Macaca mulatta: one gene and its partner. The protein of the gene in region 1 purifies or fractionates together with the protein of each later gene. This does not show direct contact. Links are inferred from orthologs where the notes say so. Each region holds a gene or a part of one and is shown in the gene's direction. Other genes may lie near its edges. The genes, in order: ANKLE2 and PPP2CB.

Evidence for each region.
Region 2: the proteins of ANKLE2 (region 1) and PPP2CB purify together in Homo sapiens (affinity purification with mass spectrometry; 4 studies listed by BioGRID and IntAct, counting the BioPlex papers as one, with this or other methods). This does not show direct contact. The link is inferred for Macaca mulatta from reciprocal best matches to the Homo sapiens genes ANKLE2 and PPP2CB.

Annotation. Positions count from the first base shown.
Region 1 is NC_133416.1:140,135,335-140,139,607, reverse strand, and holds the start of ANKLE2 (ankyrin repeat and LEM domain-containing protein 2), read left to right. Parts: upstream 1-1,377; 5' UTR 1,378-1,411; coding exon 1,412-1,592; intron 1,593-4,273. UniProt on the Homo sapiens protein: Involved in mitotic nuclear envelope reassembly by promoting dephosphorylation of BAF/BANF1 during mitotic exit.
Region 2 is NC_133413.1:32,598,421-32,602,798, reverse strand, and holds the start of PPP2CB (serine/threonine-protein phosphatase 2A catalytic subunit beta isoform), read left to right. Parts: upstream 1-1,567; 5' UTR 1,568-1,571; coding exon 1,572-1,673; intron 1,674-4,378.

The DNA of each region.
Region 1 (4,273 bases):
AAGCAGCATCTCATCGTGGTTTAAATTTCCATTTCACCCATCTTCAAATGTACTGACCCTTTATTCTGTAGTGCCCAACCAACCATTAGTACCATCCAATGATATTTTTTAAGAGATGGGGTCTTGCTATGTCGGTCAGGCTGGCATGCAGTGGCTATTCACAGGCGAGATCACGCTCACTGCAGCCTCGAACTCCCGAACTGAAACTACCCTCGCCCCTCACCCTCCAGAGTTGCTAGAACTACAGACCTGAGCCACCTCGCTCAGATCAATTATGTTTTTAACCAAGGATATCAATTGTATTTTTCAGGTCTTTCATTTTCATTTCGTAATATCTAAAGTAGGCTGGGTGCGGTGGCTCACGCCTGTAATCCCAGCACTTTGGGAGGCCAATCACTTGACGTCAGGAGTTCGAGACCAGCCTGGCCAACATGATGAAACCCCCGTCTCTACTAAACATGCAAAAATTAGCCGGGCGGGGTGGCGGGCGCCTGTAATCCCAGCTACTTGGGAGGAAAGGCAGGAGAATCGCTTGAGCACAGGAGACGGAGGCTGCAGTGAGCAGAGATCGTGCCATTACACTCTAGCCTGGGCGACAGAGCAAGACTCCGCATCAAAAAAAAAAAAAAAAAAAAAAATCTAAATTGTATACAGGAAAATCCTCCTCCCTTTTTCGGGACAGGGTCTCCCAATTAGGTTGGTGCAAAAGTAACTGAGGCTTTTACCATGACTTTCAAAATATTTGCCCAGGCTGGTCTCGAACTCCTGGGCCGAGGGGATCCTCCCGCCTCGCCTCCCAAGGCGCTGGGACTCCGGACGCAGCCGCCGCGCCCGGCAAAATCCAAGCTTTCGACTGCGCGTCAGGGTCGCTTGGTGAAGAAGCGGGAAGCTCCGGGGGCCTCCCCAGCGCCGGCCGCCCGTTCTGCGGGTTCGCAGGAAAGTGAGAAGCGCCTCCTCACTCCAGCTCCAGGACGGGGCGGCGGCCGCAAACGGTCCTGGGGTCCGGAGCTCACGAACCCGGCAGAGCCCGCTTAGTTCTCGAAGAGGCGCAGCGCCCCGCGGAGGCCCGGGCCCGGGAGGCAGTAAACAAGCCCCGCCCCGGCCCCCGCCCACACATTACCCTCTCCGCGCCGCGCAGTTCCCAGGACCCCGCGCCGGGCTGCCCGCGCCCCGCCTGCCGCGCCCGCCCGTCCGCTCGCCCGTCCCCGCCCGCTTGGGGTGCAGGGCCGGGGCCACCGCGGCGCCCTCGCCGGACCTTCGTGAGCGGGGCCGCCGCCCGTGTCCCCCGCGCCACCCCGGCCGCCTCTAGCGTGGCGCCGTCAGGCAGGGCGCGGGCAGCCCGGCGCGGGGTCCTGGAGCGGGCGCGGCGCAGGGTGCGGGCTCCTAGGCGGCTGCGGCCCGGGCTGCGGCGATGCTGTGGCCGCGGCTGGCGGCGGCCGAGTGGGCGGCGCTGGCTTGGGAGCTGCTGGGCGCGTCGGTGCTGCTGATCGCTGTGCGGTGGCTGGTGCGGCGGCTGGGCCCGCGGCCTGGGGGTCTGGGCCGCAGTGGGACCCCAGGCCCTCCGCCGCCCGCGGCCGCCGCCCCCGCCCCAGGTAAGGCCCAGGCGGTCGCTGGGCCCCTGCATCCCGGTCCCTTCCCCGCCCCGACGCCCTCCCCGGGACCCCGTCCCGGGCCGCGCCCCTCGAGCTCCCGGTGCCGGCAGCAGTTGGGCGAGGCCGCCGGGAGAAGGCCATTCTTTTCTCCCAGGGCCGCTCGAGAAAGGCCATTCCGGCCGCGGAAAGGGCAGTTGCGGGGAACGCGGCTTCCCGGGGCGGGGGCGGCAGGGGCCACGCCGGGTTCGGGGATGAGAGCTTTCTGGGCTCGGGAGCGGCCTCCGGGGAAGGCGGCGGGAGCCCGGCGAGGCGTTAGCGGAGAACCTTGCTGCGGTCGATGGAGACCTGGGGAGGGATGGCCCAAGGGGGGGCGGCGCGGGTAGGAAGCCCTGGGTCCCGGATGTGTTTGGAATGTGAAACCCCTGCGGTTACTGGTCATTGAACAGGAGGCAGAGACGGAAAAGGCCTATGTGACTTAGGGGTTTGGGGCGGGAGGAAACGGGAGAAGGTGTCCATTTATTGCTTTGGGGTAGACTGTCGGGTCTGGGTGATGTGGAGAGCGGAGGTGGGTTTTGGTCATTTTAAGTTTGAGGTAACTGATACTGTGAACTGTGTGTTTCACCTCCATCCGCTTTTCATGGCATACAACTCCTGAAATCCCGGGGACCTCCAATGTGAAGTCTTTTGTAGGCTGAGTGGACTGGTGGCCGGCAGCCCTTAGGGAGCTTCTGGATGGGACTGGTCGCAGGAAAGACCAAGGCTGAGTTAGAGGTTCTGGGGACTTTCAGCCCCACCCGCAACCTCCGGGGAGGGGAGAGGGCTGAAGGTTGAGCTGATCACCAATGCCTGTGAAATGAAGTTTCTGTAAAAACCCAAAAGGGCTGGGTTGAGGGAGCTTCCGGATAGTACGTGGGGATTCCTGGAGGCGGTGCCCAGAGAGGCCTTGAATTTCCAAGCCTTCCCCCCCGGTTTTACCTCACGCATCTCTTCACCTGTATTCTTTGTAATCTTTATCCTATGCTGGTAAATGTAAGTAAAACATGGCTCTGAGTTCGGGAGCCGCTCTAGCAAATTAACACAACCTGAGGAGGTTACCCGGTTACACCCAGTCGGTCCGAAGCGCAGGTCAAACAACCTGGGCACTGGAAGTGGGGGACAGTCTTGTGGGGCTGAGCCCTTAACCTGTGGGGTCTGCTGGTATGTCCAGGAAGATGCTGTCAGAATAGATGACTGAGTTAGGATGGAACTGCACAGACGACACCCAGCCTGTGTCCACTGCAGAACTGATGACCTGCGTGATTCGTGGCGAGAAAACCCCCACATATCTGGCGTCTGAAGCATGTTGCGAGAGTCTAGTGGGAGAAACTGAGTTTGTTTTTACTCTAGATTGTCAGACTGTTAGTCACTGAGAAGCGGTGCTTTCTAATGATTGAGTGGGGATTCCTGTCGGATTGTGTGAGTTTGTGTCCTGGCCCTACCCACTTTCTTTTTTTTTTTTTTTGAAATGAAGTCTTGCTCTGTCGCCCAGGCTGGAGTGCAGTGGCAGGATCTCGGCTCACTGGAAGCTCCGCCTCCCTGGTTCAAGCGATTTTCCTGCCTCAGCCTCCCGAGTAGCTGGGATTAAACGTGAATACCAACAAGCCCGGCTAATTTTTCTATTTTTGTTGCTGTTGTTGTTTGTTTTTTGAGACGGAGTCTCGCTCTGTCGCCCAGGCTGGAGTACAGTGGCGTGATCTGGGCTCACTGCAACCTCCGTCTCCCGGGTTCACACCATTCTCCTTCCTCAGCCTCCCGAGTAGCTGGGATTACAGGTGTGAGCCATCGCGCCCGGCCCTACCACTTATTGCTGTGGGCTTAACCTGTCTTCAGCCTGCTCATTTAGGAATAGGGATTATAGTAGTACCTAGTTAAGATTTTTTGGGAGTTGGGTAAGTGCAGCACTTGGTATGTGTTAAGCACCTCTGAGTGCTCTGTTACCGTCACCACCAGCATCATCCAAGCAGAGCTGTGGACAAGGTGGCTGGGGGTGGTGTTTTGAGAGGGGCTGAAATAAAAAAATACTGATATTACCACAAGTCAACAGAGATTTAGAGAAACTGGGTCTCGTGCATTGCGAGTGGGGATGGTAAGTGGTGCAGCTACTCTGGGAATCAGCCTGGAAGGTTTTTAGGAAGTTAAATCTGCTCTGCATTCCTGAGCTTTTATTAGAGAAATGAAAACGATTTTCACACAAAAACCCGTATTTGATGTTCATAGCAACTTTATTTGTAATTGCCAGAAACTGAAATAACTCAAATGTCCCTCTAGAGGTGGATGGTTAAACTTAAACATTGATACCCCAGGGTGCCACTCCGCAGCAGTCCACTCTGCCACGTAGGTGGATCTCAAGGGCATTATGCTGACTAGGAAAAGCCAATCTCAAAAGTTGCATACTCGGCTGGGTGCCATGTCTCACGCCTGTAATCCCAGCACTTTGGGAGGCCGAGGCAGGTGGAACACGAGGTCAGGAGTTCAAGATCAGCCTGGCCAATGTGGTGAGGCAGTCTCTACTAAAAATACAAAAAATTAGCTGGGCGGTGGCAGGTGCCTGTAGTCGCAGCTACTCGGAAGGCTGAGGCAGGAGAATTGCTTGAACCCGGGAGGTGGAGGTTGCAGTGAGCAGAGATCGTGCCATTGCACTC
Region 2 (4,378 bases), on another chromosome or scaffold:
GGGTTTCACAATGTTGGCAGGCTGGTCTCCAACTCCTGGCCTCGGTCTCCCAAAGTGCTGGGATTACAGGCATGAGCCCTTGCACCCAGCACAGGTAAGGGTTTTTAAAGGCAGGGAGGCAGATGTTACAGGCAAAGTCATAAATCAATACATGGAGGCTATACGTGGGTTTGATCTAAAAAGCCAGGATATCTGAAGTAGGGACCCACAGGTCATAAGTGGATTCAAAGATTTTCTGATTTGTAATTGGCTAAGGAGGCAAAGCTTTGTGAATTCTTCCAGGCTCCTCAGGAAGAAATTTAGAACAAAGATAGGTAGTTTGAGATCTCCATGATAGTGGACACCATTTTCCATTTGGTGAGGTCCAGGTTTCTGAAAAACAACTCAGGGACATATGTTGTCTCCAGTTTATATAGGGAAGCAAACATTTTGTGAATCTAACGTCCTTGGCTACTGTCTTAAGCTATTATTACCTTCTTGCTTATCAGGTTGCTCATTGACTTATTGAGGAAGTTAGGTGCCTGGAATGTCCCTTCGGGGAACTCAAGGTTTTCCTTTATTTCCATGCTTGGGGAGGGTGGGGGTGGGAGTGCCTAGAAGGCCCCTAAGAGGGGTCCCTGCTGTGTCTCACTCAATAAATATTTGTTGAATGAACAAATCATTACAACTCAGTACACATTGCAGAAAACACAGCCAAGAGCGCTGGAGCTAGAAGGGCCACAGATTATCCTACAGAGCAATCATTTCACTTTTCTAATGTTGAAAGGGAGGATTCAAGATGTTAGGGCTACAGGCAAGCCTGGAAATAATTAATTTACTCCACCATTATTGAATGCCTACTATTGAGTGCTAGACTCTGGGGAGACAATGTTAAGGGAAGCCCAAGTTTTCCAATTCCCTGTTCCGAGCGCTGAAAAAGCACTGCAGGAAGCTAAAGTGAGGACAAAGTTCCCGGAGATCAGGATATCTAAAGGGAGAACCAGCAGAGCTTGGTCTGGGGCAGGGTTGGGACAGGAGGGATCCTGGCCTCCTCCGACCGTTTCTCCGCCAAGCCACGCGAGGGCGCCGTTCTGCCCCTAGCGCGCCGTGTCCCGGCGGCGCCGCCGCCTGCTCGCCTTTTCCCGGCGGAAATGCCCGAGCGATGACGGAAACCCGGAGGGAGGGAAGAGAAAGAGCGAGAGAAGGGGAAAGATACCCGGGAGAGGCCGGCAGGCGTGAGGCGGGCCTGAAGCGGTAGCTGGCGGCCTTCGTCCGGCGAGAGCTAGTCCGAGGGCCCGCGCCGCCCTCCCAGCACCTCCCCGCGTCCTTCACCGACTCCTGCGGCGCGCGGCCGGGCGGGGAAGGGCGGGCGGGGGTCTCCTACAGGCCTCGCGCTCGGAGCCGCCTGCTGGGCTTGGGCGGGGCGCGGGGACCGCGGCCGCCCTCCCCGGCTCGGTCCTCCCCTTGTGGGATCTGGCGACGGCGGCTGAGGGAGAGGGGAGCGGCGCCCGGGCCGGGGCCGGGGGCGGGTGGGGAGGGGGGAGGGCAGCGGCCGGGCCGGGGGTCGGGATCCGCATCGGGATCGGGCCGCCATGGACGACAAGGCGTTTACCAAGGAGCTGGACCAGTGGGTCGAGCAGCTGAACGAGTGTAAGCAGCTGAACGAGAACCAAGTGCGGACGCTGTGCGAGAAGGTGAGGGCGCCGCGGGGGCGAGTGCGGGAGCGCGGAACTGGGACGGGCCGCAGCTTTCCTGCCCGCCCCGGCCCGTCCGCACGCTGGCCCCTGGCCCGGCGCGGCCCACCGGGGGCCCGCGGGGCTGTGGGTCCGGCTCCGGCGTCTACCCGGGCGGCCGGCCCAGCCGTTCCGGCCCCGGGGCGTTGGGCTGCCCTCGCCCGGCCCCTCTGCCTCCGCGTGGTACACGCCCCACGCCCCCGGCCCAGATCCTGGTGGTGGGAGGCTCGAGTGCGGGCGGGCGGGCGGGGAACCATAGCCCCTGGAGCCAAGCCGGAGGTTGGTCGGGGTCGCCTGCGCTCCACTGGAGTTCCTGCCACTCTGGCATTTCCCGAGTGGAATAACGAAAGCGACATCCGAAAAGGACCATTTTCAGACCAGTTTCTGAAAATGCACCTAAAATTAACCAGAATGTCGTGCCTATTAATGAACTTGTTAATAAATGTAGAATTTTTGTCAGGTGAACGGGGCACCTCAGAAATCACTAACTCAAGCCGGGCGCGGTGGCTCACGCCTGTGGTCACAGCTACTCGGGAGGCCGAAGCGGGAGGATTGCTTGAGCCCAGGAGTTAAAGACCAGCCTGGAGCGCAGAAGTTAGAGACCAGTGAGGCCCCGTCTCCACAAAATTTTTTTTTTTTAAATTAGCAGGGCGTGAGGGCGGGTGCCTGTAATCTCAACTATTCAGGAGGCTGAGGTGGGAGGATCGCTTGAGCCCAGGAGGTGGAGGCTGGCTGCAGTGAGCCGAGATCGCGTCACTGCACTCCAGCCTGGGCGACAGAGCGAGACCTTGTCTCAAAAAAAAAAAAAAAAAAAAAAAAAAATCACTGACTCTTGAATGTGTCAAGCGTTTGTTTGTGGAGAGGTAGGCGTGATGGCCAACTGTGATTTTTAAAATAGAGGTTGACTTTGGTGGAAACAGATGGTGACTGGTCTTTGCGTTGAGTGGCTCTTGGAAGTAAAGCGTTGATTCAGAAACGAGAGCTGGTCTTAAGTTTGGGAACAGTGTTTGCTGGAAATAAATGGGATGTGTGTTTTCATGCACGATAACACTTTGCAGAAAGTTTTTGTTTTTAATATATAAAGTTTTTTTCTTTTCCAAAGAATAATAAAACATGCAGGTGATCAATTTCGTTCTTGTACATCGTGTGTGATCTTCACTTTCTGAATTCTGTATCCATTGTTTTCTTAACTCCTGGAATTATTTCGATCTCTCCATCTTTAAAGTCTAGAGTTTTCCAAATTCATCCTTTACAAGGTGGACTAAATAATTTTCATGTATTTTTATGTTAAAAATTCTCACTTGAAGTCCATGAAGAAGTAACGATGTTATTTTAAGATGTATACAATTTTCTTAACCATAATGTTTGGAAGTCATGACGTCGCAGAAGTAGGTGAAGAAAAGATTTTGTTAGTCTAATTTTAGGACACTCTTAAAATCATGAAATTTACTTAGGAAAGGAGCACTAATAGATGGTGTTAAGTTAAAATAGTATTTTTAACGGGTGTAATGTTGGCTGGGGCCTTTGTGTATTAAGTAACTGTTAACACAGGAGGATTTATTTTTGTATATAGAAGTGCCAAGCAGGTGGTACTTTTCTCTTTCTGAAACAAACTGCTTACTTGTGACTTCAGTCGACGTTCATTTTTATTGTGATAACCTGTAATTTCATGAGGCTTAAAATGTATGCTTTAAACATCTCTCTCAAGCTCTAATGCCAAGTGAAATGTACAGGTTTGAAATGAGCTGAGTCAGTTAACCTGACTATGAGCATCAGAATACAGACTTGAAGTTAAGGGCAAAGTGTTAGTTGAATCAGTTTTTTCCATTGACTCTTTTTTTTGTTTTATTTTTGTTTTGAGACAGAGTCTCACTCTGTAGCCCAGACTGGAGTGCAGTAGTGCCATCTCTGCTCACTGCAACCTCCACCTCCTGGGTTCAAGGGATCCTCCTGCCTCAGCTTCCCGAGTAACTGGGATTACAGGTACACGCTGCCATGCACTGCTAATTTTTGTATTTTTAGTAGAGATGGGGTTTCGCTTTGTTGGCCAGGCTGGTCTAGAACTCCTGACCTCAAGTGATCCCTCAGCCTCCCAAAGTGCTGGGATTACAGGCACGAGCCTCGTGCACAGTCCCCATTGACTTTCTAATAATTTTAAGGTGAACTCCTAGAGAAGAATATCGTACCACTGCTGTACTTTGAAATAATCACACCGGAGTGTCAACGATCACTTGAGGAAGCTTTCTGTATTTGTCGAGAGAGATTATTTTTACTTCGGCTCCTAAATAAATCAAACTAACAGTTCCTAGGACTTCACAGGTATATTTAAGATTATCTCTTGTATCTTACTAGCTTTTTTTTTTTCTTTTTAAGATGCAGTCTTGGTGTATCAGTCAGGCTGGAGTGCAATGGGGCAGTCACTGCTCACTGCAGCCTCGACCTCTGGGGCCCAAGGGACCTTCCCACTTCAGCCTCTCAAGTAGCTGGGACCACAGGCATGTGTCACCACACCGGGATAATATTTTTTTGTATGGGGTCTCACCATGTTGCCCAAACTGGCCTTGAACTCCCAGGCTCAAGCGATCCTCCCGCCTTGGCCTTCCAAAGTACAGGGATTGCAGGAGTGAGCCATCACTCCCAGCCCTTTTTTTTTTTCTTTGAATATT